4 linked regions of the Oryctolagus cuniculus genome follow. The protein of the gene in region 1 binds, or shares a complex with, the protein of each later gene. Links are inferred from orthologs where the notes say so. Each region holds a gene or a part of one and is shown on either strand. Other genes may lie near its edges.

Region 1 (4,069 bases):
TCACAAGTAACCTGGAATGCATTTTTATTTTTACCTTTCATAATTAACCTAATTTGTTGGACATTACAATTCTCCAAAATATTTGAGAAATGCTAAATCTAACTTTACTACTTACAGCTTCCTCTTCTTTATCAACATTGCTCGTTTGTGACAACTTAATGTTTCCATTTCCCAGTTCTCCACTGGCGGAAAACTTCACCCCATCTTTTGCACAGGATATTACAACGGCATCTCCAATATGGCTGAGGTCTCGGCATATACGTGCAAATTCACCAGAAGGCATTTTTACTACACAGCTGTACTCTTGTTCCTATAAAACAAACTTAACATTAACTGCTGGAAATCTGACATCCTCACTCTTAAGCAAACGTCTAAACTCAGATCTCAGGTTTTTCTGATTTCTTTAAAACATTACTAGAGACCAGTATTGTGGCACAGCAGGTTAAACTCATTTGCAGACACAGGCAGCCCACACTGTAATGCCAGTTCAAATACAAGCTGCCCTGCTTCTGATGCAGCTTCCTGCTAATAATGTACCTGGGAAAGCAGCAAACGATGACCCAAGTGTTTGGGCCTCTTTTACCCTTGTGGGAGACCTAGAGGGAATGCCAGGTTCCTGGTTTTGGCCTGGGCCAGGCCTAGGTATTGCAGCCATTTAGGGAGTGAACTAGTGAATGGAAGATCTCTTTTCATCTGTTTGCCACTTTGCTTCTCAAATCTTTAATTAAAAACTGGTTAGTATATGACTCACACTCCAACTAAAAGTAGTATGGCATAATAATCATACAAGAACCTCTTAATGATCCTCCAGAGCCAAATCAAGAGGATATTAGGGTTTCGAACAGTAGTGATGGGGCAGACTTAAAAGTGAAAACACATTATGCATTTTACATTTTAAACATTCCCAACAGCTGTTCTCATTTAATGGTGATAAGCCCACCCTTAATTAAAAAAAAGACGCACAGAGGCTAATGCAAGTAAGCACTCCACAGCAAAAAATGAATTCACCCCACAGTCAGTTTTAGGCTGCTACAGTTTAGTAAAATGACAACTGTCATACAAATATACAAATCTTGCTTTGAAAAAAAAAAAAGAAAATCTAGATATATAGGCAGTAGGCATTAGGTTATATTAACACATCTTAAGTAACTGATGACTATGTGCAATCAGAAGCTGATACTCACTGGAATTCCAAGCTGTTCAACATCTAAGTCCATTAATTTCATTTCATAGTCTGAAACTTTCTCTTGATCTACGAAAAGAAAGCAAATGTTAAGAAAAATGTTTTATAATCATGATGTAAATTTTTACGACCATCACAAAAAATTTAAAATTCTCACAGCTGAGAATCAAGAGAGATTTTAGTTCCCTATAGCATAACTCAGTACAAGGTTATGACTTACTTGGTGCTTCAAATACTAGCGCCAAGGTGTCCGCATTATCTTCAGCCCTCAGTGTAATGATGTCTTCGTTGCCGGCACATTTTAGTATTTTGGACATGCTACAACACACAAGATACGGTTTGCAATCAACACCATCTGCTCTAAATCTAGATTCCGAGCGCAATCAGGAGCTACCATGCCCACCCCTCAGGCTGTGTGATAGACAGGTGAGGGGAAACTGGCTGGAGGCTGGGTTCAGGGGTCCAGCACCATTCAGGAAGGCAACCCGGTCCTACTAATACTTAACACCGGAACACACCAGCAATTTCAGCTCTGGGTGTAACACATAAACAGCAGTATTTTGTGCACTGTAAATCCCTCCAGTGGGTTTAGTAAATTAGTGGGCCACGACGACCGTTATTAAGTGAGCTAACAAACCTGAAACACGCCCCACGCACTAGGAGTTATTTCTCTCGAGCCTTTTAAAACTTAACCGTATACACGGACCAGACAGGGAGCAGTCAGGAAGCTGAAAGCCAATGCCCCGGGGAAATGTCCCCAGGACAAATCCAGTTTAGGATGCTCAGTGCGACCGTGTAATAAAGACCCAGAAACATCATGTGGCCCAAGAAGGGTGACACAGAGCCACACGTTGCCACGAGAGCACGTAACAACGCAGTGCGAGTCAACACGACCACAGGTTTCCCCATTCCGGGCTGCAGAGCGCTCCGCGACAGGCGTTTTCCCGCCACCACTCGCTTTTGTGACGTTGGCGCGGAAAAGAGCCGGTTCGCGCGGCGGCCAGCGCGGGCTTTTCGGAACCGCGCGCTCCCCAGGGTCCCGCCTCCCGCCGTGGCAGGCCAATGAGAAGGCGCCGGTGGCCCACCCCAGCCAATGAGGGCCCGCCTCGAAGGCGCTCCCGCCAAGAGCCGGGGATGGCGGTGGGCCAGAGCCCCGGGCTTACCTGGTGAGGTTCACGCCCATGGCCAGGTTGCGGTCGCAGCGGTACGTGTCGAAGCCCTCGGAGCGCAGGGTGAGCTGCACCAGGGAGACGTGGGACGAGTCCATGCTTTGCAGGTTCACGCCGCCCGAGCTGATGTCCCAGCAGGCCTCGTTGATGAGATCCTTGAGTGCCTCCAGCACCTTCTTCAGGATGGAGCCCTGGACCAGGCGTGCCTCAAACATGGTGGCGGGGTCGCAGTGTCGCGGCTGCAGGCGAGTAAAGGAGAAAGTTCTGGCTGAAACTTCTTCGCGAGGCTCAGGACGAGCGGACGAATACAGCGGCGTGTACCCAAGACCCCCCGAAAGACGACGACTGGTTCGCAGCGCCGGCTACCGTTTAATGCCGCCGCGTCTGTAAGCGCGCGCTCTCCGCCCCTGCGCCCCGTGTTAAGGCGTCACGACGCTTCCCCGCCCACCGGCTGGGCGGAAGGGATCCTGAGGACCAATCGTGTTCCTGCTCCGCGCAAAGCCCGCCCCCGAAAGGCAGTCATTGGAGGCTGCTGAAGCGGGGGCGGGGCAGGCGCACAGCGCGCCTTCGGAGGCCGACAGGGTGACGCACTGCCAGCCGCCCCGCGTTTTTCTTAGTTCCTGGGGCGGACGCCAGACATGTCTGGGCGACGAAGCACCGGGTGACCGTCGAGCTTGGTGCGCTGTGTTGGTTTCTAAGCCTCTCGCTTTGAGGGGAGAATCACTGGCTCCCAGCACACACATACCAAGATCATATAATCTCTCAACTGTTTGCTGTCTACAGTTTTCTACACTTTCTTCTATAAAAAGATATTTAAAAAGAAATACGTTCACGTTCCAACAGAGTATGTCACGAACATCTTTTCGGTATTTACTTAATAAAGGTTCCGTAACGTCCCATGTATGCGACCTAATGACCAATTCCTGTTATTAAGAACACCTTTGGGCATTTGGGTGCTTTTGTGAGTTCAACTCCCTGAAGTAGCAGTGATGAATGAAGAGTATACTCATTCAGATAAATTACTAGTTGGCTTCTAAAGATCGTGTGTGTAAGCGTGCTCATCTCCTATGTTTTCTTGACTACAGATACTGAAAGTCTCATTTTTAAATCCGTGCTCAGTTGTGTGAAAAGTTTAGTGTTACAGATCGGTATCTTTCAAATGCTTGTATTTCTTGACGATGTGTGTGTGTGTGTGTGTGTGTGTTTAAGAGTTATTTATTTGAAAGGCAGAGTTATAGAGGCAGAGGCTGAGAGAGAGGTCTTCCATCCACTGATTCATTCCCCAGATGGCCACAACGGCTGGAGCTGCGCCAATCCAAAGCCAGGAGCCAGGAGCTTCTGGGTCTCCCATGCCAGTGCAGGGGCCCAAGGACTTGGATCATCTTTTACTACCTTCTCATGCCACAGCAGAGAACTGTATCAGAAGTGGAGCAGCCAGGACTCAAACTGGCGCCCATATGGGATGCTGGCACTTTAGGCCACAGCTTTACCCCCTTTGCCACAGCTCTGGCCCCAGATAGAAGATTTTATTTTAGGGGTCAATACTGTAGCATAGTGAGTAAAGCCGCTCCATGCAGTGCTGGCATCCCATATGGGCGACCCGGCTGCTCCACTTCCGATCCAGCTTTCTGCTATGGCCTAGGAAAGCAGTGGAAGATGGCCCCAAATTCCTGGGCCCACACACACACATGGAAGACCTGGAAGAAGCTCCTGGCTC
Region 2 (3,511 bases), on another chromosome or scaffold:
AAATGGAAGCCCTTACCAGCCCAATTGTATGTTTTTCTTGAATAGGTATTGATAAATGGAAGCGCTTACCAGCCCAGCTTTGCCAGCCCTAATAAGAAGCATGCTAAAGCCACAGCTGCTACTGTGGTTCTTCAAGCAATGGGCCTTGTACCAAAGGACCTCATGGCTAATGCCACTTGCTTCAGGAGTGCCTCACGTAGATAGATTGAGGTTTTATATTAATCATTTCAGATAATTTTACTCTGCATCACAATGTATTTCCTCTTTAATGTTGTAAATATTTGGCAATTTAAGACATTGTGTAAAAAGCAATCTGTACAAACATCTCCAGGCTTTGATTTTTGTACCATGGAAATTGTATTTAACCATACAGGGTTTTGGTATGTTTATATTGTTTACCTTAGTGATGTATTTGTTTAAGTGGCTAACATCCAAACAGTTGTTTGAAGGCATCAGTAATCTTCAGTGTGGAATGTTAAATAACGCTTTTATACTGTATTTTGTACTATGATGTAACTCCCCTTCCTATGGCTAGGCTGCTGTAACACTTGCCTGTAATCAGTGAAGGGCTGTGCACCTTGTACTATTTCACAATGGGTTCTGCTGGACAGATACTGGGCCAGTGTTATTGAGGTAATCAAGCAAGATCTGTTCCACAGGGCTAATGCCACCATCTCCCCTTAAAATTTTGTAGAGGTTATAAAAAGAAAAGTGGTATGTTGTGTGATGACCAGCACTAAGTCCTGCATTCCCGTTAAAGCCACTTGGGTCATAAGAGTGGAGGAAGTCTGACTAGAATTCTGCAGAGGCCAAGTATGTTTAGTATGGCATTGAGTTGTGATATAGTTTTACTTTGATGTGCATTTTGAATTTCAGCTACACCTAGATAGATGTAAAATGATAATTACAATGCTGTAACCAACTTATCTAATAAAATTGGCAACCAGCCACTATTTTGTTGACTATGAGAAAGTTTATGTTAATTTTTAGGGTCTGATAGAGTATTTCATGTGTATTACAGTGGTATTCATATGCTATGTCTCTAAACTTTATTTTCAAAAGCTTAAGGCCCAAATACAAACTTCTCTGGAACAAACGTGGTGGTTTATTTTCTGGATTATAAAGTAAACACATACTTCTTCACTAAATGCTGTTATTTCTTTACCCAATGCTTTCGATTTCTAAGCACTTTTATTTAAATTTGAAGCACACATACACACAAACACCTACGAGCACATTGAAGAGTGCTACATGGCAGCTAAGCATGTTTTACAACGCTCATCACTATTCTGTATGGCATACAAACTGCCCTTTTGTCTGGATTGACATGCATTAAAACATTTTTTGAGTGTATTTAAAAATAGAATTAGAAATCAGTAGCAAAAAGTGCTAAAGCAGAAGCATCAAGAATCAGCTCAGTAGTTACTATCTACATTTATTTCTACAAGAACTCTCTAACAGAGATTTATGAAAGTAGTATTTTTGCACTGATGCCATTAGTCACAGTGGGAATAGTTGCTACAGGTTTAGTCTTTCTCATTACTCAGTTTTTAAGAATTTTCAGTGTTTTGAAAAAAGTTTAACTTATGTTCAATATCTGGAAACCTAACTTTAAAATAAAAAGTTGACTCAAAACCTTAATGCTACTGCTCAGTGCATGTAATAAAAGTTAATATTCAACTTGCAAAATGAACTTTTAAGGCCAAAGACAAGAATCTTGAATTTCCTTGCTAGGAGGTTTTTTTCCTCAAAGATTCCTTTTAGGCTTACTTTGGTGTTCAGGATCTCCAATTATAAACGTAGTCACTCATTTCCACATTCCGTAAAGATGATTTCCCCAGTAACGGTATTTGACTGAGTTGGTCCAGAGTCTTAGGATGCAACCCACAGTTAGCAAGCTCTTTGTGTACCACCTCCTGTGGAAATTTGCATACAAGTCAGTAAAAAACACATTAGTTTTGAACATTCATACTAACACATTCAGCTCAACAGAAGTTGATCCTAGGAGATTTTGCAGCGGTGTTTTAAGTCTAGCAAGCTGATAGGCATCAGGCAATAGAGGGAGGCCTTGATTACAATCTCAACAAAACTTATTTTCAAGACAAGGCAAATATGGTTAAGTAGTCATGTTTCTATATCCTGAAGGAATCAGGCACTAAGTTTTGGATCTAAGAGCTGTAAAGTTCTTCAGTTACTGTCACTAGTACAAAAGGCTAAATTCATAAGATATGACACAAAAACAAGAGATATGCCTTCTGACCAGTTCATAACACAGTTTCTGTGGCTCATCAGAAGTGACTTCCCTGAGAGCTGGTCGGGGAAACGGTTCACACCTGTCGCCTCACCTTATCCAGTACATTATCCATAGGCAGGCATATATTAAATACAGTAGTTGGCTCATGTGGATAGAGTCCTGCCGAGAAGGACCCGCTTTGTGAAGACTGGAGCAGCGTGGTGACGGAATGCACACAATGAGGCAGGATAGGACCTGTAATCTCCAAACTAAACTGATCTTTGTATCCAGAAGGAGCTTGGCTCTTCACATTCACACTTCGTGCCTTCATGGAAATGTAAAGAAAAAGAAAAATCACCATCCCTGTTGCAAAACTGTTCAGTCATTTCCATCTGGGCCTCATATCCAAAGGCACAGAACAAAAGTAGTTATCACAACGTCACAATGACGTGCGTGAGAACTAGTGACAGTGACAGCTCAGTGCCACCATGGTCCTCACATGAGGGTTCTGGCTGAAGTGTATTCTAGAGAATGACTTTTTTCTTACAACAGTCATCTTCAAACATTCATGAGAAATGATATTTTTTTCAGTTCTGCTAAAACCGAGTATCCATGTATGCTCAACACAGAATATTGAGAGAAAACACACTCCACACATCTATTGCTATTAACTTAGTATGTATATTTATGTGTAGACTTATCATTTGATAAGGATATACAATTATTTTTACTTATGAATGAGTAGACCTTGAGCTCTGTAGCAACATTCTTGGCTATGTCCTCAATGGTAAAAGTGAAACAAAATGAGATGCTTCCATAAACAAAAAAAGGAAATAATGCTTTTGCTGCATAATAATAAGAAACCATTTTAAATAATTTGTATTTTAAATTTCTTTCATGTACCACAAAAGTATTTATTTTTACCAAGATAAAAAGTAAAAATTAGTAGTCTCTTATTCCTTTGAAAAGAAAATTGTGTATTTCAGGTAAAGAGAGCAACAAAAATCTTCCACCTGCTGGTTCACCTCTACAAATGCCCTGAAACCAGGCGTTGGGAACTCAGTCCAGCTAGGGCAGGCACTAGACACAGCACTTAAGACAGCGCAATTGTAGTGTCTTGTTCAAGTCTGGCTCTGCTCCTCAGTCCAGCTTCCTGCTAATGTGCATCCTGTGAGGTAGTAGGTGATGGTTCAAGTACCTGCAAACCATGTGGGTGATCTTTATGGAATGTCTGGCACCTGGCCTCAGCCTGGTTCATCCCTGGCTGTTGTGGGCATC
Region 3 (4,108 bases), on another chromosome or scaffold:
GCTTTATAAAGAGCTGAGCCTTGAAAAATGAATGGGATTCAGTTAGGCAGAAAAACCAATATGTGCAAAAATATGGAGAAATAACAAAGCTTTGGTGTGGCCAAAAAGGTGGGTTTTGTCAGAACACGAGGTTCCAAGATGAAGAATGATGGGAGACACATCTGGAAGAATCTGGAGCTACCACTACACAGGTCCTTAACCACACTGCTAAAGAGACTGCACTTTATCATGTAGGCCATTCAAGGTTTCACCCAGTTTTCAACAAGAGTCATTACCTAGTCATTCACAGAGGACGAACAGACATGCAAGTTGTCAGGAAGACAAGTCATAAAATCACTGTACCAACCTAGGCAAGAGTCGGTAAAGGCCGGAGAGCAACAGAAATTGGGCAGAGGGCAACTGGGCAGAGTCTCAAGAAGCCTTTCTGACAGGACTGTTAGGAGAAAAAGAAAGAGCAGAAGAGATAACATATTTCTATTATAAGAATAAAAGAGAAACAGTGTTGTTTTAATTGCTCTTTTCTGGAGTGAGCGGGATGCTAATTATTTTTCCTGTTTTAAAGATATCTATGGAATATTAGGTTAAGCTCCAGGAAGTATTATGAAATAGCAGACTGGTCTTCAAAAGGCAGGTGAATGATAGATGAAGACGTAAGGTTTGTGATGCTTTGGTAATAGACAAATTTCTAGAAGTAATTTCACAACCAGAACAGTAAAACTGAATCCAAGTTCAGCTTCCAAATACAAATCAGCCTATAAGGGATACAGAAATGTAGTAAGCAGAGCAAATGTTGGCAACAAATCTGAAATTGGAATTCTAAGTCTCATGAGAGTGTTTGGTGTCTATGCACACTCACAAATCACAAAACATGTCAACCAATCAGTATTCCAGTGGCCACAGCTGAATGCTCAGGAAATGCAACATGAAAAAAAGGAAAGACATCCAGGTAACAAATCACAACACCAACCACAACGCCATGTGAAATGGACAATAAGGTCAAACCACAAAGTCCCAAAGAAAAGGGTAGTCCAACTGGGAAAAGCTCCACCTGTCTCTTCGCTTACTTGCAGATCCTCTCCCTACACCAAGCTTGTGCTCCAGGAAAACCACAGGGACTGTGTGAAGTCACATACTGAATTTTCCTGTTATCCAAAGAGGGGACACAGGCCAAAAGACGTTTATAAAGAACACAGGAGAAGCTGAATTGCATCTGGAACACCAATTAAGTAGCAAACTGTCCTACATTTTCAATATTCCATCTGACTGTCGGCCCATGTATCTCAATTTTGCTGAAAAATCAAAGGAAACTGGAGACATGAAGCAAGCAAAGGAAGGTCATTTATAATCAGAACCATGGGGGATGGACAGGAGGATTAATAGCAAAAAAAAGTATGAAGTTCCTGGATGCCTTAACTTCCAATTTGCACTGACTCCAAGAGCAAGCAGTAAGAACACTGCTTGGCATGTCCTAAGGTTTGCACATTTCAAAGCACCTTTACTCATTCCCTACTTTTGGGGAGGAGAGTTTGGGGAGTGGGTGGAGAGTGACAGGATAAATGAAACTGTAACTTTGGCAAAGCTGGTAACTAGGACTTATTCTGTCCCCAGTGACTGCACATATTATTCAGGAAGTTAACCAAACTGACTGGCTTCCTTTCACTGACCCTTACCAGAGATCTCTCTTTATTTTATCTCTGCCTATTTCTGCAGTGTCAGGCAGTAGGACACTCTGTAGATGTTACCACCTTTCCTTCCAGAAGATCTTCTTGCCCGCACTTATAATATAGAAAGAATCACTAATAGAAAGAACCACTATCCTCAAGAAGGCCCACTTCCCTCACTTGTAAAACCAGAGCGATGCTCTGCAGGATCGTTTGCGGATGAGATAATTAATGTAAAGTGCTCTGCAAACCACAGAGTGCAATATCAAATGTAAAGGGTATTTGTTTACAACCCAGGCACAAAGCAGCAACTCTCCTCTTACCCTCTAAAGGAGCTGACAACATCAAGAGGCAAACAACCACTATCCATAAGGTCAGGTAAGGAACGTCAACACCTACCCAAATCTCTTCATTCACCCATAGTCTTTTTTTTGTTTGTTTTTTAAGAGCTCAGTGTAGCCCAAAAGTTCAAGGCCTTCCCACATCACCTTAACCTTATCTTCGGACAAGGAGGGAGGAGGCTACCAAAAAAAGCAAGGGCAAACAAGGCAACAAAAAACGACTCGCCCAAGGTCAAAACATCGGAATACAAAACGAAAGCCGGGCTTGCCAACAGCTGCGGCCACGTCTACCGTGCCACCTCTTCCAGTCGCCGAGAAACGCCGAGCTACCCCTTCTGGGCCCCACGGAGCAGTGAGGGGTCGAGGGCCTGGCCCGAGCTCACGCGGAACCCCAGCCGCCCCGATGCACAGCCTGCAGCGCCCTCCACCTGCCCGCTGCCGGCCGGGGCCGCGCCCCTTCACCCAGGTTCAGCCAGGGCTTGGCCGGGCTCTCCCAGCAGACCCACTGACCCCCCACCCCGAGACCGGAACCCCAGCGCAGGACCCCCACAAGGGTAAGTTCCGCGCACGGCTGACACCCGCCCGCACTCCGTGCCACGTCCGCGGCCTCACGCACTTTGGCGCTCCGGACTGGGGCTGCCGACGCTGCCGCAGCCGCCGCCGCCGCCGGCCCCACAGCCCAGCGTCTCCAACCACCCAGCTCCTCCTCCAGGCTGGACCGTGATCTCTGACAGCCGCCGACTTCCTCCGCGAGCTCCACCCCGCAGCAGCCGAGTGTAGCATCCGCCGCCCGAGCCGACGGATCGCCTCTGGAGCCAATCGGGACGGGCAACCGGAAGGGGCGCGCTGACGGTCAGCCGCCGCTACCAATAGAAATGCGCTCCAAAGGGGGCGCGGCCGTCACTAGCGCACCACGCCTGGTCTGAGCTTCCGGTCGGGCCCCCGAGGAGAGGGGCAACTTTCCCAGAGTTCCTTAGAGCTCCGCTGGTCCCCAGGTCTGCGGGCAGGCGAGGAGGCGGAGAGTGCTGCTGAAGGGGTTGGGAGAAGGTGGAGCAATGGAACACCACCCATTCGCCTAGCGGGTCGGGCAGCGGGCTGGTTCATGCAAGCAGGAGCGGCTGCACGTCCGGGGGTCGGCCGCCCAGCAGTCATCCCTGGGCAGTTCCCTGTCAGGCAGGCTATGGTGGAAAAGGCCATGTGGGCTTGGCAGGCATCCTCGTCGCGCTTGCGGGTTTTGCGGTAGGGCGACGCCCCCATCCTCACTCTTTGACATTTTGGGTCCAACTCACAGCTGTGCAGCAAGCTCCAGGACTGAGGAGGCGCCCGGAGCCCCGACCTGGGTGCGTTCCGTGCTTTAGGGCAAGCACACTTGACAGGCAGTTGGCAGGTAGCACGCCGCAGAGCAACCCCGAGAGTGCTCACCGTCGACTGCCTGGCCCCCTGAAGAATCAGCAAGCACCCTGCGCTCTGAACTGTTTCTTCCTGGCCTTGGGCAGGAGTCAGGGTGTGAAAGCACTGGGGGCTGTAGCAGTGCTGGAGACAGAAGCTGGTGGGTGGGGGTTCTCCTGCGAGAAGAGAAAGTCCCTATCCACTCTTAGCTTTGCCCAGCCTGGTCTGCAATGACGGTCTCTTCCGGGAACCCATGGCGCCTTTGCAAGCATTTGCAGGAGGGCCGGCTGCAAGCCCAGCACGAGGAGTTGCAGGCTGCACTGTGCCGCCTACTACGGGCATTTGGACATCCTGACCCATCTGCCCCAGGCCTGAGACAAGGACATCGAGGCCAATGACCAAGACTACAAGCGGCCTCTGCACGAGGCGGTCTCTAGGGGCCACCGGGATTGAAGGGCGACTGGTAGGTGGCGAGGATCCAGAAAGACGCCCCGCCTGTCTACTGCCTGTGGAAACGTAGATTTCTGTGTACTTCATTCATCTCTTCCGACATCATTAGCTTTTCTCAGCTCCTGGTTCTCTACCCAGGCCTTCTCAATGGCAGGGTTCCCCTGCCCCAGCCTTCCCCTAAAGTGAAATTGACTTACAGCCTACTTCATTCCTGCCCGTGTGGGGTTAGCTGGCTGGTTGGGTCAATCATTTCTCCGTGTAAGGTAG
Region 4 (3,982 bases), on another chromosome or scaffold:
AGAGAAAGGTACAGGTTCTTGTGGTGAGAATGACTTCACATAACTGAAGGAAAGCAAAGCAAATATGGCTAGAGTATCACAATTGAGACAGAGAGTGGTATAGGTAAAGTTGGGTACACAGGTAGGAATTAGTGTGCTAATGCTATAAAAATTACAAGTAATTGGGGTACCTCCACTAAAATTGCATACATCTTTATTTCATTTTCAGAGAATCCAGTCATTATTCATCCTTAAACCCCAACAGGTTAACAGGTGCTTCATCTCTTATTTAAATACCCATAATGGTAACAGACAATAACTCTTATAGGTATCCACTGACAAAGTTAACTGAAGCTCTTGGGTTTGGGCCAGAACTAGTCTTACGCAATTTTAGTCAAAATCAATCCAAATCCATCCCTATATAAGAGTTTCTGGGTTTTGAAAGCTTTAACATCACACCCCAAATTAGACTCCTAGATGTGCTTAACCCAATAAAACCAAATCAACCCATTCTAGAAGTCAGGGATTTTCTGAGACTTGTGGGAAGTTCTCATGACTCTAGGTTTCTATGACTCCAGAAGAAACTTCAGACCACCCTTAGGAATCAAACAAACAAAATGAGAATTTAACCCAATATATGTATCCTCAGCCAGTTCACTAATTCCTCCCCTGGGTCACAGACATCATCCACATCTTGGAAGTGAATTCAAAAGCTCACCTTTTCTTTTGGGCTCGGGTTAGATCCCAAATTTAGGCAAGGAAAGGTGACATGGCACTAAATTGAAGAAAGGCAAGGCCATACACCATCCTAAACACTCCCTTTCCAGTTTCACTTAAATCGCTCACCCTGTCACACAGCTTGCGTCGAACACCTGTTGACCTCATTATGAAGTACTCCAGTAACATCTGGAGATGGGTCTAAGGCCCACATATGAGAATGTGGTGAAGACGTAAGATAACAGACATATAAATTTTAGATGCAAAAAGAACTAATTCATTTAAGAAATTTGAAATAACAAACATGTTCACAGCAGGCCAAGGATGCAAATGAATCCAGCAAATTGATCACACCACACCTTTGTTATCAAGTCTACCAGTCTCCTAAAAGAGACAAAAATATGAGGTAGTAAAATAAGTGTTTTTTTCCATTTACTCAGGAAAAAAAAAGAAAATTAGTTCTATCCTAGGAGCTATCTAAAGAGCAAAACAAGAAACAAACAAAACAAAACCCTCCTCTATGTGATTAAAATTGGTAGTAAATTGGACTTACTGTTTGGCCTGGTTAACATGAACCCCTAGTGTATAGCTCAGCCATTTGTACGTCACCTGCAAGAAGAAGCAATTTTCAAGAATGTTTTATGAAATGCCCCCAGAGCCTAGATCAGTAATCTTAAGTGAGTGTGATTGTGCCTTATCAATTGCAATCAATACCACCACAGTTTTGTCAAGAACTACCTGGGCTGGCAGAATAAAGATATCTACTTTACAAACACTAACAAAAAGTTTGTGTTTTTTTCCCCCCAGACTGCTTCATACAAAGACAGTCCGAATACACGTAAAGAAAGAGCTCTCCTTTTCCTCTTGCTCCTTGTTTCACTTAGGCCTTTCTTTAGATTCTGCCTTTGTGGGGGAACCACCGGCCTAAACTACCTGAAAACTCACCTAGGAGCTAAATGATTTCCCAAGCGTATGATGCAGAAATCGCTCAGGAAAGCTGCAGCCACAGGGACGAGCACTAGGGGCACAGGCGGTGCAGGGGTCGGGATGAAGACCGCAGCGGGTCAGATGGGAACCACTGACACCAAGCGTGCAGCCCTCCTCCACCCCGTCCGCCTGTCACTCTCTCGCTAAAGCTCGCTACAGGCCGAGCTGCCATAATCAAAAGACCTGGGCAGGTCAGGCACAGGCCGGGGCGAGCTCGAAGGACTCGTGGAAGAGCCAGGCCTAGGTTCGAAGACGGCGCCGCCCTCTCTAAGAGCGACCGAACTCGTTCTTTGGCCTCGGGGTTCCCCGAAGGAATACGACTCCCTGCCTGGGGCGGGGGTGGGGGTGGGGAGGGCCGAGGCAAAGATGACGGGCAACAGCGCGTAGCCACAGAGCCCCGGCACCCAGCGGGCGCTCACTACCACGCCTCGCAAGGCGCATTCGCCTCCCTCCCCTCCGATCAGGACACCAACCCCGCCAGGCGGGTCACGCCCCCGTCAATACTCCAATTTCCAGGAAGAGGAAACCCGAGGTCAGACCGTCCCTCAACACGGCTGAGGCACACTTTCCTCAGAGGCAAACCTGGGGCTTGAAACGCCACCCGCCGGGTCAAGCCGGCGTAGGGACGCCTTAGACAGACCCTCAACCCCCGCGGCCTCTCCCCGGGGCAGCCCCCAACACGCCTACCCGAGGAACGCCCGCTGCCGCGCGCGCCATTAGACCTCCCCGGCGAGTCCTCGCTCGCCCCGGGAGCACGCGGTGACGGGGACCTGTCCCCCCTCTCGGCCAGTCCCCCACGAGACCACAAGCACGAGGGTCCAGGCCCCCACCGCCCTGGCTCGGCCCAGGACCCCAGTCGCACGCCTGCTCCCCCAGGCCCTCGCTCCTCACAATCTTGTTCTGGTCCGTGACGAACTCGTCTATATTTTCCAGATACAGCTGGTCCGCCATGGTGCCACAGCAATCGGCCCCGCCGGCTCGGGGTACCCCCTCTCAGTCACAGCGGCAGCTCCCGCCGGCGGGAAACGTCTTTACTCCCTCCCAGGTCCCGGGTCGTTTCCCACGGCAACCGAAGCGACGCGCTACGGCGGCCGCCCAGGGGTCAAACTAGTCACGGAGACGGCGCAGGGTGAAGTGGGTGGAGCCAGTAAGAGCCATTGGTTGGGGCGGGTTTGTGTGTGGTGTGTGTGGAGAGGAGGTGTCGGGTTTCACCCCGCCGCTGAGTGACCGCACCTGTAGGAGCCACAGCCTTTTCATCTGTGAATTGATAAAAGAATCCTTGCCTCGCGATATTTTATTCAGTAAATATTTGGAACCTATTCAGGCAGGCCACAGTTTTGGACGATAAAGATAAAAGTTGAGTAGGGCCGGCTGGAATACAATACTTGCCTGTTATAATGCACAGTTAAAGAATTAGAAGTTCTTCAAAGCAGGTAAAGGAGGCGGGGCGTTTCTGAGAGAGGCGGGAGCGGCTGCCGGGAAGAGAAAGCTCCAGATAGCGGGAATAGCGGGAATGTGGGGGAGAAGGAGCCAGGGAGAGAGGAGATCTGACGAGGCCACAGCACTCCATGCCTTAGGAGGCTGTGTGTAGGGTTGCATGCACGTCCTTCTCAGTTAAAGAGGACAAGGAGAATTTTCAGGTTGGGGAATTGCGTGAGAATTTCTCATAGTATCACCAAAAATTTAGGATAAGCCAAGGTCCCCAGCATAGTGAATAAGCAATCAAGCTCTAGAGGACTCCAGATTTGAATCTGGATTTCTTTTTAAATTTTTATTTTTTATTTGAAAGGCAGAATCGGGGCGGGGATTGGGGGAGGTTTTCCATCCACTGGTTCACTCCCAAGTGGTTGCAACAGCCAGGGCTGGGCGAGGCCGAAGCCAGAAGCTAGGAGCCATAAACTTCTTCCAGGTCCCTCACATGGGTCACTTCACTTGGGCCATCTTCATCATCTTCCACCGCTGTACCCAGCCACCTTAGCAGGGAGATGGATCCATAGTGGAGCAGTCAGGACTTGAAGCCATGCCCATGTGGGATTCGGGCACTGCAAGCGGCAGCTTTACTGACTATGCCACAGCCCTGGCCCCTTGAGTCTGATTTTTTATGTACTGAGTTTTATAAGTTGTTTAACCACTCAGAATCTGGTTCCTTATCTGTAAGATGGCAAAAGCCTACCAAGGGCCAGGAACGGTTCAGGGTAGTGAGGGTACAGCTGCAGTCATTAAGACATGGAGGCCGTTCTCATTACATCACACTCTCCTGGAGATATTTAAGTCCCAGTCTCCCATGGTCTCCCAGCTG

What was found. Proteins that work in one complex are often made in the same cells at the same time.
Region 2: PCNA (region 1) and DONSON share a complex: the UniProt entries of both Homo sapiens proteins name them as parts of the replisome complex. The link is inferred for Oryctolagus cuniculus from reciprocal best matches to the Homo sapiens genes PCNA and DONSON.
Region 3: the proteins of PCNA (region 1) and F-box DNA helicase 1 are in contact, whole or in part, in a crystal structure (PDB 8F5Q), measured with the Homo sapiens proteins. The link is inferred for Oryctolagus cuniculus from reciprocal best matches to the Homo sapiens genes PCNA and FBH1. Residues at the interface, in NP_002583.1 of Homo sapiens: Met40, Ser43, His44, Val45, Ser46, Leu47, Leu126, Gly127, Ile128, Pro129, Ala208, Asp232, Val233, Pro234, Tyr250, Leu251, Ala252, Pro253, Lys254, Ile255; in NP_835363.1 of Homo sapiens: Ser56, Gln57, Arg58, Cys59, Ile60, Pro61, Phe63, Phe64.
Region 4: the proteins of PCNA (region 1) and POLD3 are in contact, whole or in part, in a crystal structure (PDB 1U76), measured with the Homo sapiens proteins. The link is inferred for Oryctolagus cuniculus from reciprocal best matches to the Homo sapiens genes PCNA and POLD3. Residues at the interface, in NP_002583.1 of Homo sapiens: Met40, His44, Val45, Ser46, Leu47, Glu124, Gln125, Leu126, Gly127, Ile128, Pro129, Thr206, Ala208, Asp232, Val233, Pro234, Tyr250, Ala252, Pro253, Lys254, Ile255, Glu256, Asp257; in NP_006582.1 of Homo sapiens: Ala453, Asn454, Arg455, Gln456, Val457, Ser458, Ile459, Thr460, Phe462, Phe463, Gln464, Arg465.

What each region holds. Positions count from the first base shown.
Region 1 is NC_091442.1:30,190,190-30,194,258, forward strand, and holds the start of PCNA (proliferating cell nuclear antigen), read right to left. Parts: upstream 2,808-4,069; 5' UTR 2,568-2,807; coding exon 2,347-2,567; intron 1,502-2,346; coding exon 1,404-1,501; intron 1,253-1,403; coding exon 1,185-1,252; intron 311-1,184; coding exon 116-310; intron 1-115. UniProt on the Homo sapiens protein: Auxiliary protein of DNA polymerase delta and epsilon, is involved in the control of eukaryotic DNA replication by increasing the polymerase's processibility during elongation of the leading strand.
Region 2 is NC_091435.1:11,427,791-11,431,301, reverse strand, and holds part of DONSON (protein downstream neighbor of Son), read right to left. Parts: intron 2,559-3,511; coding exon 2,346-2,558; intron 1,917-2,345; coding exon 1,779-1,916; 3' UTR 1,771-1,778; exon of another isoform or gene 205-1,770; coding exon of another isoform or gene 1-204. Other genes in the region: protein SON, read left to right, coding at 46-204. UniProt on the Homo sapiens protein: Replisome component that maintains genome stability by protecting stalled or damaged replication forks.
Region 3 is NC_091444.1:77,494,869-77,498,976, reverse strand, and holds the start of F-box DNA helicase 1, read right to left. Parts: upstream 2,808-4,108; 5' UTR 2,620-2,807; coding exon 2,619-2,619; exon of another isoform or gene 2,061-2,618; intron 434-2,060; exon of another isoform or gene 347-433; intron 1-346. UniProt on the Homo sapiens protein: 3'-5' DNA helicase and substrate-recognition component of the SCF(FBH1) E3 ubiquitin ligase complex that plays a key role in response to stalled/damaged replication forks.
Region 4 is NC_091432.1:65,786,975-65,790,956, reverse strand, and holds the start of POLD3 (DNA polymerase delta subunit 3), read right to left. Parts: upstream 2,808-3,982; 5' UTR 2,635-2,807; coding exon 2,575-2,634; intron 2,165-2,574; exon of another isoform or gene 1,642-2,164; intron 1,306-1,641; coding exon 1,250-1,305; intron 1-1,249. UniProt on the Homo sapiens protein: Accessory component of both the DNA polymerase delta complex and the DNA polymerase zeta complex.